2 linked regions of the Struthio camelus genome follow. The protein of the gene in region 2 purifies or fractionates together with the protein of the main gene of each other region. This does not show direct contact. Links are inferred from orthologs where the notes say so. Each region holds a gene or a part of one and is shown on either strand. Other genes may lie near its edges. The genes, in order: TERT and PINX1.

The links.
Region 1: the proteins of PINX1 (region 2) and TERT purify together in Homo sapiens (co-immunoprecipitation; 3 studies listed by BioGRID and IntAct, with this or other methods). This does not show direct contact. The link is inferred for Struthio camelus from reciprocal best matches to the Homo sapiens genes PINX1 and TERT.

The regions. Positions count from the first base shown.
Region 1 is NC_090943.1:71,164,633-71,172,819, forward strand, and holds the start of TERT (telomerase reverse transcriptase), read right to left. Parts: upstream 3,108-8,187; 5' UTR 2,751-3,107; coding exon 2,523-2,750; intron 1,256-2,522; coding exon 1-1,255. UniProt on the Homo sapiens protein: Telomerase is a ribonucleoprotein enzyme essential for the replication of chromosome termini in most eukaryotes. Active in progenitor and cancer cells. Inactive, or very low activity, in normal somatic cells.
Region 2 is NC_090944.1:10,529,711-10,537,757, forward strand, and holds the start of PINX1 (PIN2/TERF1-interacting telomerase inhibitor 1), read right to left. Parts: upstream 3,151-8,047; 5' UTR 3,059-3,150; coding exon 3,040-3,058; intron 1-3,039. UniProt on the Homo sapiens protein: Microtubule-binding protein essential for faithful chromosome segregation. Mediates TRF1 and TERT accumulation in nucleolus and enhances TRF1 binding to telomeres. Inhibits telomerase activity. May inhibit cell proliferation and act as tumor suppressor.

The sequences.
Region 1 (8,187 bases), on a different chromosome or scaffold from region 2:
TTTCTACAAGCCGTTTTCCACCTGCCTGACAACCCTTCAAGCGATTCAATAAAAACGATTTAGGAAAACATTCTTTGAAACTCCAGCGAGAGTACAGAAGAGACTTCCTCTCAATGTATACTCCAGAACGCAAGATTGTATTTGGCAATTTCTTTCCCAAAAGATCTACGGGACTTTCCAGCCTTCTGTATTTTGAAGAAATACCTTCCCTTGGTTTCATTTGTACAGAATCCACCTGAGATTTATACATATGCATCTCTATGCCCTTTCTATTTGATTCTGCTTGCATTTCCATGTTGGACTTAACAGGTCTGTTACTTTGAACTCCTTGCAGAAACGCACTCTCATCTGCGACAGCTTTCTCCTTCCCATCATAAGATTTGCGAAGTAAAGAAGGGCCAGGCATATCACTGTCACTTCCTCTAGCAGCGTACTTTTCTTCAGTAAGATTTACAGAATGTGATGCGATGTACTCAGTTCCATACCTCGTGGAACTACTTTGGTTTATGCCAGGACTGTGATTCCAAGCCTCTTTCTCTGGTGTTTCCTCCTCTACTTTTGCTCTCTTAGCTGTAATTTTAAGTTGTTCCCTATCAAGCTTCCTTTTCAAGGACAGGGCTGTAGCTGATGAAGATAAACCTGGGCTAATCTGATTTTCCAGATGTTCAGTTACCATTCTGATCTGTTTGCTTGCTTTAAAATCATCTTTAGACGAATATGCCAAACTGGATCCTAAGCTTTGTATTTTGTTATTTTTTTGATTTCCCTTGCTGGAGACTTGAACTGCAAGTCTTCGTTTACATTTCCACCAGTGAGATTTTGAAAGATACTCTTTATGAAACATAAGCCTCTTTTGCATATAGTCAAACAAGATATTACGTCTATGCTTTGAATATCTTTGTTTAACAAACACTGGAGACGATTCTACATTATTTGAAATAAGTTCATAAATGGGTTGCCCACAAACTTGATAGCAACTACTAGGGGGAACCAGCATAAAGATTGCACAGTGTTCTAATAAATACATCATCACATCATCCCCTATCCTGCTCAGTAATGTTTCCCATAGGCCACTGATACGAAGAGTTTCTGTTGCGGTATTGGGTAGGTAGCTGCATATATTTGAAGACGGCATGATTCGGAAGTGAGAACTGTTTTCATCCAGTAAGGAATATCCATACGCAAGGATATTCTTCTTTCTTTTTTCACATAGCCTCTGAATAACTCTTGTGATGACTTCACTCTGACTAGATAACTGAAGAAAGAAAGAAAAAAGGAGAATTACTTTTTATGGACTCTTCCAAACGCCACAACATACCCTTTAAATGAACAGACATGCAACATACAGAGTTCTAGCCTTGAGCTTTAGATTAAAGCTTTTCAAAGCAATATTAATGAGGCAACAGTGCCCTATTAGAAAAAAGATTTTCAAACATATCACAGGATTAAAAAAATAAAATCATCAACCAGAGACTATGACTTTAGGGAAGTCTTTTTAACTTCTGCTCCTTTGATCCTGGTTTTCATGCCAAGGGAACACCCTATGCTACTCCTCTCATCTTTCTCAGCAGTCCAGACTCCAAGGCTTTCAGGTCACTCTGCCCCACGCTACGCACATGCGCAGACCATACCACAGCAGGGATCTAACACTGCCTTTCTGGGGACCTCCAAGTGCTAATGTAAAATAAACAACTTCTAGTGAGTATTTCAGCTCACGTTTTTAAAAAATACTCCATAAGCTTGCAACATTCGTTTTGTGCAGTAGCACAACTTTGCTCAGGCGCACAATAGCTCCAAGAGAAACTCGTCTTATTCCTCTTGGAAGAGTTTTTTCTGCTTAAAAAAGGATTGGAAAATAATTCTTTCTCTCTTCTTCTCTATCCTCTAACAGAGGTAAAATGGTGTTTTTTCATTTCTAATTGCTCCCCAGACATTTTGGAGGGGGAAGGGGTGTTAAATGCTTCCCCACAGACCAAGCACAAAGTCAGGGAGTCCCAGACACACAAATCTTTCGGCTTATCTAACCACGGGCCAGCAGACACTAAGATTTTGCCCGTTCACCCCCTAGAGGGAGGGGAAAGGGGGATAAGCCCCACGCAGGCTAGAGAAAAATTTAACTTCCATAAACCAAACTTCATTCTGAGGCGAAGAAGAGCAAGGGGACCAAAGGAGACGACCAAGCGAGCAGGCGCAGCCAGGAGGCAGAGCCACGAGGAGACAAGCGTGGCCGCCCGCTGCGCACACACACGCATGGAGGACAGGAAAAGCATGACGAGCCGCGGCACCGCGGAGGGCGGCAGCCCCAGGAGCCCTCTCCCGCGGCCGCACGCCAGCGAGGCGGCAGGCAGCGACGGGGGGCAACGGCCACCAACGGCCGGCGCTGACCGTTGGTGCGGGCGAGGCTGCCCGCGCGGGCGGGCGGGCGGCTTCTGCTCGGTGGGGAGGGCTGCAACGCAGGTGCCGCTGCGCAAGCGGGCAACGGCTGCCTCCCCCTCCCACCCCCCCTCCCCGCGCCCTCCTACCTGCTGGAAGGTGAAGGGCCGCGGGATGGAGCGGGCTCCGCGGGGGACGCACACCACGCACTGCGCCACGAAGGTCCGGTAGCACGGGGCGTCGTCGGCCCGCAGCACCTCGGCCTCGCCGGCGCCGCTGTCCCGCAGCCGCTGGATGAAGGTCTCCAGCGGGGCGGTCTCGGCGTAGCAGCCCCGCAGGGCGGCCAGCGCCGCCGCGAACGGCCCCGCGCCCGCCATGTTGTGGCGATGGAGCACGCCGCCACCTGAGGCGGCCCCGCGCCTTCCTCCCTCACCTCCTCCCCCGTCGCGCTTACGCTTCAGCCGCTGGCTGAAGCACTGCAGGAAGCTGTGAGGGGCTGTTGCTTCTTTAAAAAAAAAAAAAACCTTATTGCTAAAAAAAAAACCAACCCAAAAAGCAAAAAAAAAAAAAACCGCGCTCGCACAAACACCCCGCAGCTGCTGCGGCCAGGTGCCGCAGGCCCCCCGCGCGGCCTCCGAGGCTGCGCAGAGGTGATGGGCGGCGGGCCGGGCCGGGCCGGGCGGGAGGCCGCTGTCCAGCCCCGCAGCTCCTCACCTCCTCCAGCGCCGTCTAGTGACCCGAGGAAGGCGGGCTGGGGTGAGGGGGCCAAGGCACCTCCTGGGGCTGAGAGTGAGCCACGAGGAGGGCCGAGTGCGCGGAAGGCGCAAGCCCGCGGGATGGGGGGATGCTTTCACGCCATGGTTGCTCTCCTTCTGGGCCATAAACTCGTGTTATCGCACTCATTTTCCCCCTTGTGAGACCGAGAGTCCTTAAAGACTCGTGCAGTTTCCAAAGTAGCAGAAGTTGGTGCAGAAAGCAGGAAGCAAGGGCCTATGGTTAAAGGTGCATTGTGAGGTGGAGCACTAGCACCAGTTACCTCAAACTCGTGGCATGACTTTTGACCAGGCATTTAGGCTTTTATTTTCGGACAGCTTTGTAGCATCTGGCTAATTCGTGCTGTGCGTTTCCAGGTTGCCTGGGATAGCCTGAAATACTGTCACGAGAGGTGCTGAAGAAAGTTTTGAGAGAGTCTTGCTGGTTTACTAAGGTAAGTTTCCCATGGAAGAAATGAGGAAGATTCCCATCACAGAATCCCTTTTAGGATGGGGACACAGTAGACGATCTATCTGAAATTAAGTAACTGTAGAAGAGGTTATGGTGCAGATGAGCAGAGTAAATCCTAACACATAACCAACTTGCTGGTCCTGGGAGTCTTATCAAATTCAGGAATGAAGCAGCCAAATCACTAGTAAGTAGTGTTGTTCTTACTCAAACATTTCCTTGATACCTGAAGACTGCATGCTGGCAAATTTGATGCCAGACTTTTAAAAAGGGTTTGAATGGGGTTCTGGGGAACTACAGGCCTGTAAACCTGATGGTTTTTTGGGGTAAATTAGTAGAAATAATAACAGAACATAAAATTACTAGATGCTGGGAGAAATACAAGCTGCTCAGTCAACATGGCTTCTGCAAAAAGAAGTTCTGCCTTAAAAACCTCCTGGGGTTCTATGGATGCTTGAGAAGACATGAAGATTATGATAATATAGTTGATATAGTCTGCTTGAATTTCCAAAAGCCTTTGTAAGGAAATGTTATGAATAGAAAAATGAAAGAAGGAATGTGCTGATATGGATAAGAAACAAAGGTAGAAATAAATGGTCAGTTCTTTCAATAAGGAAGGCCACCACCAGAGATCCACATTAGTTTGCACTGTATAACTTTCATAAATGACTCAGAAGTATTGTAAGTAATCAGTAAATGGCAAAATTTGCTGATTGGATGAAGTTATCCAAAGCAGCAAGGACACAAGCAGAGTATAAACTTGCAGAAGAACATTATAAGACTGAATGATTGAGCAATTACATGGCAGTTGAAATTTAATGCTGATAAATGTCAAGTGTGGCATAGAGGTGAAATACATTCTTAGTTTCATATATAAAATTATGGGCTCTGGGGTGATTAGTACCACTCAGGATTGAGACCCTGAGGTTATAACAGTTCCATGAAAAAATCAGCTTTATGCGCAGCAGCAGCCAGTAAAACAAGTCAAGTATTAGGAATGATTGGGGAAGGAATAAAGAACAGCAAGAGGACATCATTATGCCATTGCATAAATCCATGGTTTGCGACAGCTTGAGTGCGGTTGTGCGATTCTGGCCTCTACTTCTCAGAAAAGATGTACTAGAGTTAGAAAGGGCTCAGGGACCAAAAGTATGGAACAGCTTCTATATGAGCCATGAGAAGGTAGGCTGGAAAGGGGAAGAGGGATAACTTGGTGAGGAAGGTTAAATGCTGCATGCCACAATCCATCTCCTGAAGCAGTTGGATATGTGACCAAAGGTGCCCTGAGCCCAGCGGTCTTCCAGGAGCTGGAGTTCATCACGCTTCTCTCAAAACGTGCTGCAAAGGGATAGAATGCCAAGATCCTTTTCACCTCCGACTCTCCTGCTCCAGCTACTCTGTCATACCGATCCCTGCCATGCAAAAGAGACTCTGGGACTCTGACTGCCAAGACACGTCTGCTGTTAAAGCTATGCTCTTGGCCCAGTGGGCTGTAGGTGTTAATATTAACAACTGCTCCCTCCACATGGACAGAGATGGGTAGCAGGCCACGTGGCACAAGTTCAGCAAATCCCAAATCAGCCCCTTTGAGCAAAGGTCTAGGCAGGACAGAGTCAGCAGTCTACCAGATACATTAGTGACGTGAGGTGACTGTCTTCTAGTTAGGCTTCCTGGCTGGATTGCTGTGAAATCTCCTGCAGCAACATGATAGTGTTCTCCCCTTCCCAAAGACTGAAGAGTACCTGGCCCTTATGAGGACTCACCTGGCAGCTCCCAGTGTGGAGAAGGTTGTTTCATTAGGTGTTTCATTAGGTGAAGTTAGTGGCCCTGTGGCCAGGGACAGTGCTGCCCCTGATACGGGTGGTGCTACACAGCAAATAGTTCTCACCAATGGCAGGGATAGGGGTGTAGAAACTGTGGCCCTGCTGAGACAGGACAGTGTACCTTCCTCTCCTTCAGTGAGGACCGCAAAGACCTCAGAGTGAGGTCAGCATCCCCCTGCTCTTCGAGGACTGGCTGTACCTTCTTTCTAAAGCATTAAATCTCTTACAGGCAGCAAAGCAGCTCTTCCCTGTTCATCATCCTGGCTGAGGTGTCCACTCCTTCTTAGCACCTTTATAGCCTTTAGATTGAGGCATTTCTGTGTCACTCCTTGTTCAGCACTGCCTGCATGCCACGGACTGCCATGCATCCCTGATGCAGATAGGCACCAGATGGGTACCCCCAAAGGAGGGAGAGTGATAATACTAGAAGGCTTCAAAGGACCTCAGCAATGCTGTAATGGAGAGGTTGCACAGACACTGCAGACTTGGGCAAGGGGACAGAAGTTGGCCATGGCTGTATCAGTAGCTGCACTCAGGCAGGAGTATAGTTGATATCCATGATCTGACCTCTGGTGGGTATGTACTCCCCTCTCCCCCACCCCCAGATACTCCAGAGGTGATGATACCCTCAAGGTACAACCCAAGGATGATGTCTAATGCAGGCGGGCATGTGGCAGATAAGCGAGTCACCATTTCCTCTGAGGAACATGCTCAGGAAGAGAGGAGGAGGAACAGGAAGGGGTGTTGAGTGTATCCCCAGATCAAGGGCCGGTGGCAAGGACAAGGAGTCATAAATCTTGAAAACAGCAACCAGACCCCTGACTGCACCAAAAGATTCCTCCCCAGCAGCCAGGGGGATGATACTGGAGAAACCAAGGGCATGATGGTGAGGGAGACCGTCTGTGAGGTGTTGATCTGTAGGTCTTGTTGAAGAGGTGGACAGTGGTCTAGGTCTTTCCACCAGTGGGACTTTCTTAGAGGGTGCAACCCTAGCACCAATGCACAAGGAAGTAATGGGATTTTGGTGATAGTGGAGGATGAACCCAAAGCTGAGGACGTGCTGGTTGCAGGTGAGGTTGTAACTACTTGACTGTGTGCTCTGGGGGTGGTACATCCATGTCCCCAAAGCTGGTGATATGCTCATGGCAGATAGTTGGGTTGCAGGTGCTGCTGTAGGCCGAATTTCTGAGGAGGGCTTTTAGTTGTCGTTTTCCTGGACCCTTTCTGCCAGCTGGTGGTAGGTTCCAAAGTAGGTCCTTACCGGTGCGTCTTGCTGATGCCTTCTTGGCAACAACCACATCAAGGGTGTGAGGAGAGAAGAGGACTGCTGTGGCCAGGCTAAGGGGATCTCTTTATTCCTGTTTCTTTTCATAGGCACTACCCTGTTTTTCTGTGTGCCTACCACTAGGCTGGGGAGAGAATCCAGGAGGGAGAGGGGGAATGAAGTGTCATAGAAAAGGGGATAAGTTGATTTTTAGGAGGCTGAATAAAGAAAAGAATAGAATAACAGAAACAGCTGTTCTGTAGCTGACACTGGAAAGAGCCTCTGGAGATCTCTAATCCAACCCCCCTGCTCAAAGCAGGGTCGACTAGAGCCAGTTGCTCAGGACCTCATCCAGTTGAGTTTTGAATATCTCCAAGAATGGAGGCTCCACAACCTCTGTAGGCAACTTGTTCCAGTGTTTGACCACCCTCAGAGTGAAAAATATTTTTATGTTTAGTTGGAATTTCCTGCATTTTAATTTGTGCCCACTGCATCTTGTCCTGTCACTGGACACCACTGAGAAGAATTAGGATCTGTCTTCTTTACATCAGGCATTTATACATTTTTGACAAGGTCTCCCTGAGCATTTCCTTATCAAGGCTGAACAATCCCAGCTTCCTCAGCATCTCCTCATATGTCAGATGCTCCGGTCCCTTAATGATCTTCATGGCCCTTAGTTGGACTTGCTCCAGTATGTCTGTATGTCTTCTTGTACTGGTGAGCCCAGACCTGAATGAATAATTAAGTCACAGTTCTCCTCAACAAATTTATCCTTCAGGGGAGAACGAATCCACATCCTGCTCTACCACCAGCTTTTGTGAAAGGAAGTTACCTTGGAAATACATGATTATAGTGCAGTGATAAAAATAAATTGCCATTTCTACAGAGTGAAGTGAAAGGAAATAAGATGTTATAGTTTGCTTGAAACATATGAGATGTACTTGTCCCCACATGTAGTTGATTTAACACAGTTGGGTTTATATTAGGTCAGTCCTCAGTAATGTCTATTTAAAGACACAACTTTACAGGTGTACTGTAAATGTATATCTCTTTCTAAAGCTCCTTTTAAATAGGCCGAAAAGGAACCTCTCGTGAGAAGTGAGACTGTAGGTAAGGAGCCTTTCAGAAACCTTAAGTTATATTCAATCAAAAAAAAAAGGAAAAGATAGGCTAATAAAACGAAGTCAGAAGAGTCTGATGAACAACTTTCAGAAGTTAATAAAAAATATACTTTTTCAAACATCAGAAATGGGAAACCTGCCAGGCAGTCTATAATGTGAATGGTATGTGTTATATAAAAGTATAGAAGGAACGCTTAGGACAATAGTGGCAATAGTGAGGAAATTAGATGAGGAACTTAAGGAGGGTACTGCATCAAACCTTTGCACACAGCATGATCTGTCTCAAGTTGAAGTACTGCAGATAATGTTGTTGAATAAAGAGAGAAGAAAAAAATAAACAATTAGTAAGTCTCTATCATCGGATGATATTTACCAGGGAGTTTAA
Region 2 (8,047 bases):
TTTCTTAATCACTCCCTTTCTTTAAAATCTCTCAATTCGCAACAACTCTCCTTCACTGAGTCACTAAAACCAACTTGCTCAATATTTTTTTTTAATCTATCTTTAACAACATACCCAGTACGCTCATCTACTATTTCATTCTCTGTAACTAGCTCCCCAGGTGGTGACGTTGCAAACCCCAAGAAATTAAAGTCAATGCAATTCACACAGTTGTAAAGTACAGGGTGTATCTAAGGATTTGTCTACACAGTGGAGGTAATCTATGTCAACTGAACATGTGAATTTAAATTAACTTCTAACTTGAATTGTTTGATGTACTTCAGCTAATCCACTTTAAAAGTTAATTCTGATTAATTTTCCTGAATCTCTCTCTGTAGACAAGGCCTGAGACGTTTTACTCCCAGCAAAACCCTGGTAACAAAACACAAGACTTAATGACGAGATTTCTCAAGTTTGAAATGTTAAGAGATCTTTGTCTTTCCACCACTTCTGACCCACATACTTCAAACCTTGTAACTACTGCAAGGGGATTAATCCTCACATTTCTGTCATGTTAACAGAGTCTTATTTTCAAATACTGTAAGCTAGCTGCAGGAAACCAAACAAAGTTGCTTATACCTATCAAAAGTATTTAAGAAAAATCAGGAACAACCTCATGTCACACATATTAATCAGAAAATCATCTACCCTCTTCAAATAAATGATAAAAAAGGTATTTAGCCTAAAATTTGTCAGAGATGTTTGCTCACAGAGGTCTTTTAAAAACCTACTCTCCTCCAGTTAAAAAGTTCAGCTCTGAAGTTAACACCAACGTTCCGGGCTGCTCTTAGAAAAACGATGCTAGAGATATTAATGAAATTCTGGGCAAGTAGCACCATCCAGTGGAGAAAAGTGTCGTTTCTTTAGATACTTCTGCTTCGCTCTTAACTCAGGTGCCCCACTATTTGGAAAAGGTCAACTGCTAAACTGCCCAGACAAATATGTGCATCAGACAAGGAATTAAACCATAATTTTCCAAAAGTAAGATAGGAGGCACTCGAGTTCTGGTAAACCCAGTTCAGTTTCCAAAACGACCAAATCCTATGTTTTCATTCATAAATCCTTCTGACACAGTATCCCATCTTCTAGTTTTGCCCGTATCTCTATAGCATCTGGGATTATGGGATCCCATCCAAGCCAGAGCTGTGGGTCTATATATGGTGATAACACGGACGATAATAAACAGGTGGAATTTGTCTTCAATGACCGGGAAAAGAAAAAGATACAGTTCACAGATAGGATTTTTTTTTTTTATTTCAACCTAGTAAACTCATCAATACAGGGTTTTTTTTTTTACCCCCAAAATGAGAATCACTAAGATAGACAATAAGTTTATTAAAAATTTTGATTTAAAAATAAGTGAAAAATAAAAGCTAACCTTTTGCCCGTTTCTGCTATTAATATGCTTTTTAAATTTAAACTACATAAGCACAAAGTTTTGGGTTTACCCTTTATTTGTTATTTTAGGTTCGTGAAATGCATGTGTTTTCACAGATGTAGTAAAATCAATTAAGCCCCACCCATATGTCTCCTTCTCTTTCTCAATATGAGCATCTGAACTTGATCCAGAATTGCAAACAAAAATACAAGTGGGTAACACAGCCTTACTGCACTTGCAAGTGATAAACAAAAACATACAATTCTGGGAAGGTGGGTCTCAGTAGCTAGATTTGTTTTTAAGATAATCGATTTCCAAAGCATTTTTTTGGGGGGGGGGGGTGGGGGGGGAGGGTGCTTTTCACTAGGTACAGAAGCATTAACGTAGCATTACAATATTGAAAACTGCAGGGTCAAATTGCAGGGTCAAACTAAAAAGAAAAAAAATTCTCAAAAATGGTACCACCAAAGTTTACATCTGAAATAATCAGAAAATTATATATGTAAAAGCAATTTTATTTTTAACAATTCAAATCTGTATTTCCCAAAGGAAATCAGATTTTCTATTTAGTCATTATCCTTATGTCCATCTTTCCCACAGTCAAGGAAATGAATTTATTAGACCTTCTGTCCTGATTTTCAAGGTGTCCTGACAACAGTTAATCTTACCAATACCACCTAAGGACATTAGCAATCACACCGAAGTATACTAGAGCTGTTACACAGAAAACTGCACTCATGGAAGATTTTATAACTATTATTAGAACAACTTCTTGTGTCATTTGCACTCTGCACTAATAAAATGAAATACTGTGTGTGTGTAATTGAACTATTTACATGCAATTTTAAACTTACTACAGAAAGCTACTTTGCAGAAACGCTTCTTGAATTTGGAAGATAAAGTACCAAAAGTTTTTTGTTTCTAGAAAAAAACAAAACACCATCATTCCCACTTTGGGCCAACCCCAAGAAAGTTCTTAGTCTTGAACAGACGAACTTTACCCGAAGAGAAGTTATCAACTGGGATATTCACCCCAAGGCTTTAATCAGCTCTGTTAAGATATAGGGAGCCCAAGCCTTCAAGCATCTCCGAGATATGAGCGAAGCCCTCTTTCATTCCAGCATCAGGGAAAAAAATAAATAAGAAAAAAACACTCAGATAGCTTGTAACAACATGGAAAACCTTCACAAGTGCTTTATTCAGCAACACATTTATGCGAAAGGCTCACAAGAAACAGCCTCGCCTTGAACACGAGCTCTCCCAGTGAGTCCAGGGGATCTACTACACGTAAAAGATCCACGCAAGCTGGTACCTTTACTGAAGCACCGGCCTAAAATCCTTTATAATCTGCTCTCTCCTCCTGCCAAGCGGAATTTAGCCCTGACCCCCCAAATCCCCGGCTTGGGGGCACCGGCCCAGGGAGCGCAACCCCCCGGCTCCCGCCACGACCCCCTCAGAGCCGAGCCCGGCTCGGCAGAAAGCAGCGGCCGCCGGGGCAGCTCTCACCGGCGTAACGGCTCCTTCCCCTCCTTTTCCCGCTATCACCCCCCGCCGCAGTGGTATCGCGTCTCCCCTGCCCCCAAGCGGTTCCTCCCCCGGGGAAGCCCCGAGAAGCGACTCACGCTCCGCCAGCATCGCCATCTTGGGGGCCTCTCTCCCTCCCTCTCTGCCGCTGAGGCACCGCCTCGGAGGCCGGCGGGGGCCTTCACCTCTCTCGGGCGCAGAGAAAGGCGGCCGGAGCGGAGCCCGCTTGAAAAACCGCGGAGCAGCCGGCAGCAGCCGTCACCCGTGGGGAAAGGGAGGGTGTAAACCTACCTCCCGGCTGATAAAGCTTAAATAAAAAATGCGTAGCCTGTCGAATATCGGCTATTCCTGCGCATATCCCCGGGGATATGAGACAGGCGTTTCTGCGGGCAGCTGAAGCGCTCGCGCGTGGCGGGAGGGCGGGAGCGCGGGAGCGCGGCCGGTGAGGGCGAGGGGGGTGTTCGCGGCCCCCACGGGCGGCGCGGCGGCCTGGCGGCCCCGGGCTGCCTCGGAGCACGGTGGGGAGCTGCTAAAGCCGCCTCACCGCGGGGGGAGGGGGGGGTGTTGGTCGGCGGGGCCGTTTGGGGCGTTCAGCCGTCTCCACAGGCAGAGCCCGTCGTGAGGGGCGCGGGGGGCGGGGAAATGACCTAGAAAATGGGTCAAAAGCAGGACGAATCGTGCTGTTTGGCCGTTCTCTTGCCCTCCGTCTTCCTTGCTCACCTTTCACATCCCTCCTAAAGCTCTGTTAAGGCTCTGCGTTCCTGTCGTTCTCTTGCAGGGCCTTGCTGAGAGGCTCTGCCCTCCAAACAGCTCTGAGCCCTGCAGATGTCAGAAGAAAGTGCCCAGGTTCTTCAGGCGGGAAGAAGCTTTTGCGAGTGCAGATTAGCTCAGTTTGCTCCTTTCTCAAAGAGCTGTAGAGCTGGAAGGGGCCTCACAATGCTGCGTTGGCCATCCCGTGCTCATCGTCTTGTCCCAAGACAAGTTCAGCTTTGTTGCGTGGTCAGGGCAGCTCGTGGTGGTACCTAGTTCATACAGACATCCAAAGCAGAGCCTCCAAAGCCTCTTCAGGCAAACTATGCCTTTATTACCTTCTCATGATTTTCAAGATTCTGAGATTCCCCTGCCTAAATCTTCCTTGCTGTAATATAAGCTCATTGCTTCTTGCCTTACTCACCTTAGATGCGGAAGCAATTTATTTTTTCCTTCCTGCAACAAGTTGTTAGGCGTTTGAAGACTGAGCAACTCGCTTCCTTGGTCTTTACTTGCTGAATCAAAACCACCCCTATTTAGCAGCCTTTCTTTGCAGGTCATGTTTTGGAGCCCTCTAATTGTCCATGTCTTATGTTTTCTAGCCCCTTGCTAGTTGTTTCTCATCTTATTTGAAATACAGCACCCAAAACATAACACGGGGGTTGCTGTTGAGTTTTTCAGAGCACTTACTGGAGTTGTAGGCTGCTTCCTCTGTGTCTGAAGCATTTTTCATCGGAATATAATGTTTTGTTCTGTAACCTCCAGATACCCTTCAGGGAAGTTCTGTTTAATTAGGGGTTTTGCATTCTGCGTTCGTGCAGTGGATTAATGCTCTCTTTTGCCCCTGCTGAATCAATACTGATTTTTTCCAGACTGTGTTTGCATTTTGTTCATATTGTTCTGAATTCCAGACCTATCTTTCAGTGTCTTTGCTATCTCTTTCCCAGCTTGGAGTCACCTGCAAATGCGGTATGTGTACTCTGTACCATAACTCAGGTCATTAATGAAAATATTGAATATGATTTGTTCTTGGCAAGTCTAAAACCTTACAAATAGTTTGTTGATTTATTTCAATAGTTTAACTTCAGTTCCTCTTAAAGTGACTGCCCTGACTGCCCCAGTTCTTCCCTTCCCGCTCCGTCTTTAAAGAAGAGCATCAGACTGGCCCTTTCATAGTCTTCTAATCTCACATCCAACCTATACAGGTTCTCACAGTACATACTCTCACCTGATGGTTTTGTCAATTCTCTAAGCGTTTTCAGGCCAAATTCATCAGGCTTGAGTGCTGTGAAAACAAATAAAATACTTTCCAATCCTTTATTGCCTGAGACACAGATCTTTTGTTCTTTGTTTCTGTTGCTAATTTTGTTAGCTACTTGATCGCTATTAATTCTTTTAGTGAAGACTAAATGGTCTTCTGGATGGATGAATCACGTCATGCCCCCTCTGCTCTCTGGTGGATCAGCCTTGCCCTTGGTCTTCCTGTTTTGACTGCTGCGTTATATAAATGTGTCTCATTGCTTATTCCGTGCCTTGACTTTTCTCATTCTATCCCTTATACTATATGTCTGTATGCAGTCTGTCTGACTTGGCCTTGACTCTGCTTGTTTCTTTCAGCTTGCGCTGGTTTCTTATCAGTGTTAGCTAAAGGAATGGCTAGCTGCCATTAATTCATAGACCAAGCTGCTAGGAGACTTTACCCAATAATTTTCGGAGCTTACTGAGGTCTAGTTGAAATCTGTAATTTTTATTTGGCGATTTCTCTCCCTTGCCCTAAGAAGAGGTACTGGGTGCCATAGCAGCTTTAAGTCACTTTCACTTAAAATTTTGCTCCAGGAGGAAATTCCTGGAGGTCAGAATCAACCCTTAGAAGAGCCTTCTTTCTGTTTGCTTCATCTCCTGCTCTAAAAAGATAACATATACACCACACACCTGCTTGGACAGTCTAGAACATGGTCCATCTACTCCCTTAACTGTATACAATGCAGGCGTCTAATCTGAACTCCGGGTGCCTATCTGTCTCTGCTGACCTGAGGAGTTTCGATACCCAGCTGAATCTTCTGATAGCTAAAGCTGAATCTCCTGCTTGGTACCTCCAAGGTACTAACCTTGCTAGTGGAAGTCAGGCGAGATGAAATCTCTTGTCACCTCCCACTTTGTCATTCTGCTTATTCTCAAAAATCATTTGCCACCCAGTCTGCCTTCTCGTGCTCCCAGGTCACCTACCAGGATCCTCTTCCCCTTTCATTACCACTCAGGGACTTTCAGCAAGGGCCACCCTTTACCTAGTGTCTGTGTCTGAAATACAAGGTGTTGTATCCTCACCTCAGTCATCCGTGTACCTGTGCTTCCTGACCAAAGTACTCCTCTTCACAGTAATAGCCATTTCTATGACTTGTCTGTCCGAGGTCTGTAATCCGTCGGTTAAATTGTAGTGTCGTCTGTGCATTAAGAGTTCTAATGGCCACTTTCCTGGGTGAGCCATTTCATACGAGCCAAATCCTGCTTCCATTTTTCATTCTACAGAAGTTAAAGTCTCTTAGCTGAGAGTGCTGGTGTAATATCTTATCACTCCAGTAGATAGCAGCATTACACACATTTGAGTGAGCGTCACTGTGATCTTAAATCACTGAAGGTGATCCACCAGAGTACGTGTTGTCTGCACGGTGGGCTCATTTCCCTCTCAGATCCTTGTGCCTTGAGGTTTGTACCCTCTTGTACTACTCCCAGGAGCAGAGCGAGCATCCAGCAGGTGACAGCTTCTCACATTGCTGGGCTCAGTGCCTTTCTCTACCCAAAACCAGACCATTCCCGTGTCCAGCAGAAAGGCAGCCACAGATACTAGCAGTGTGCTAATGGCACAAAAAGCTCTACACTGGTCACTTGCCACTTGAGGACGCTGCAGTGGGATCCGTGAGCAGCTGTTCACATTAGACATGTTATAGCCCCTTTGGAGCTGATGGAAGGAGAAACAGGCACTCACAGGCAGGGTTTGGGTCCCTTAACACTAACTAGATGCCTGCAAGAATTGTCTAGACCTGAATACATCGCAGTTCGCTCAGCTGGAGAAGAACCAGCACCCATCAAAACACCCATTTCTGACCCATTCAAATGCCTCATCAACCAGGGACATATGAGGAGGGAGAGGAGAAGCATCCGGGAAAAGAAAAGATGAAAAGTGGCAAAAAAGGACGAGAAAGGCAAGTAAAGAAATAGGATGTGAATCCTGGCTGTGCAACAGGTCATTTGTGAGGCAAATCAGCCTCTGTTGTGTGATAATGGCCTGAGGCCAAACTGGAAATGCTTACTGAGCGAGTCCTAGGAGAAGTGTGATGGAAGCACGGGGGACAAGGACTGCCTAGAGACCGTAAAACGAAAAGGCAGGTTTGATATAGGACAATGATTCAAAAGAACAGGCGAATTAGATGTGAGCTGTGGTATAAAGCTGTATTAGCAGAGCAGAGAAGCTGCCCATCAAGCGCCAGGCAGAGAACAAGAGATTAACAACATCTGACCCATGGAGCAAAAGATGTCAGAACAAGTGCCCGCAGCCAGGAGACAAAAGGGTTCAAAGAACAGCTACTAGGGCTAGGCGAGGACCAGAAACTGACTCCAGGCAAGAGGGTGATGTTATTAGAAATGCTGCCAGCAAACAACTGAGCAGTAGGGTGCAATGCCTGGCAGGGAACACTGGAGGGAGTGTAGGCAAAAGAGACAACAGCCAAAAAACCAGATATTTTTCCTTATATCCACGACCACAACGTGTTTTTTTATTACTGTTACTATTTTTGTTGTTATTAATATTCATTAACCTGTGCTTTATGGGGTGTGAGACTGAAGTTCTGCTCTAAGCAGTTTGTTATCCAAACAGAGAAAGGAGATAGGTAGCAGATGAAAGAGCAGCAATGGTTTAGGGGGAAGGAGAGAAACAGAGGCAAGTCAAGGAGTTAGCAGCTTGTGTTTCGTGTGGAGGTATTTTAAAGAATAAAGGAGTGTTAAAGAATTGGACGCTACTGAGACATTAGGCTCAATAGTCACAGTTATGTTATTTCTGTTACAGCTGGTTTTTGGGTGGTCAGATTTCATGGCTGGGCCATACTGAACTTAAGTTGGAAGTTCTTACATAATCAGTTCAGTATTTGGCACTGAAGGACGAACGTGGTGATGGTGAACAGCCTCCGTGACCTGCTGGGAGCAAGTCTCAACAAACTAACTTAATTACTATTTCTGACCAAGAAGGTGGCCTTGGTGACCAAGGTAGTGAGGTTTTCCTCTAGCCAAGAGCCAGAGACACATGGCCCACACCTCAGAGAGACAAGGATAAGGAGAGCTTTAGAGTCACCCACAGATGCAAAA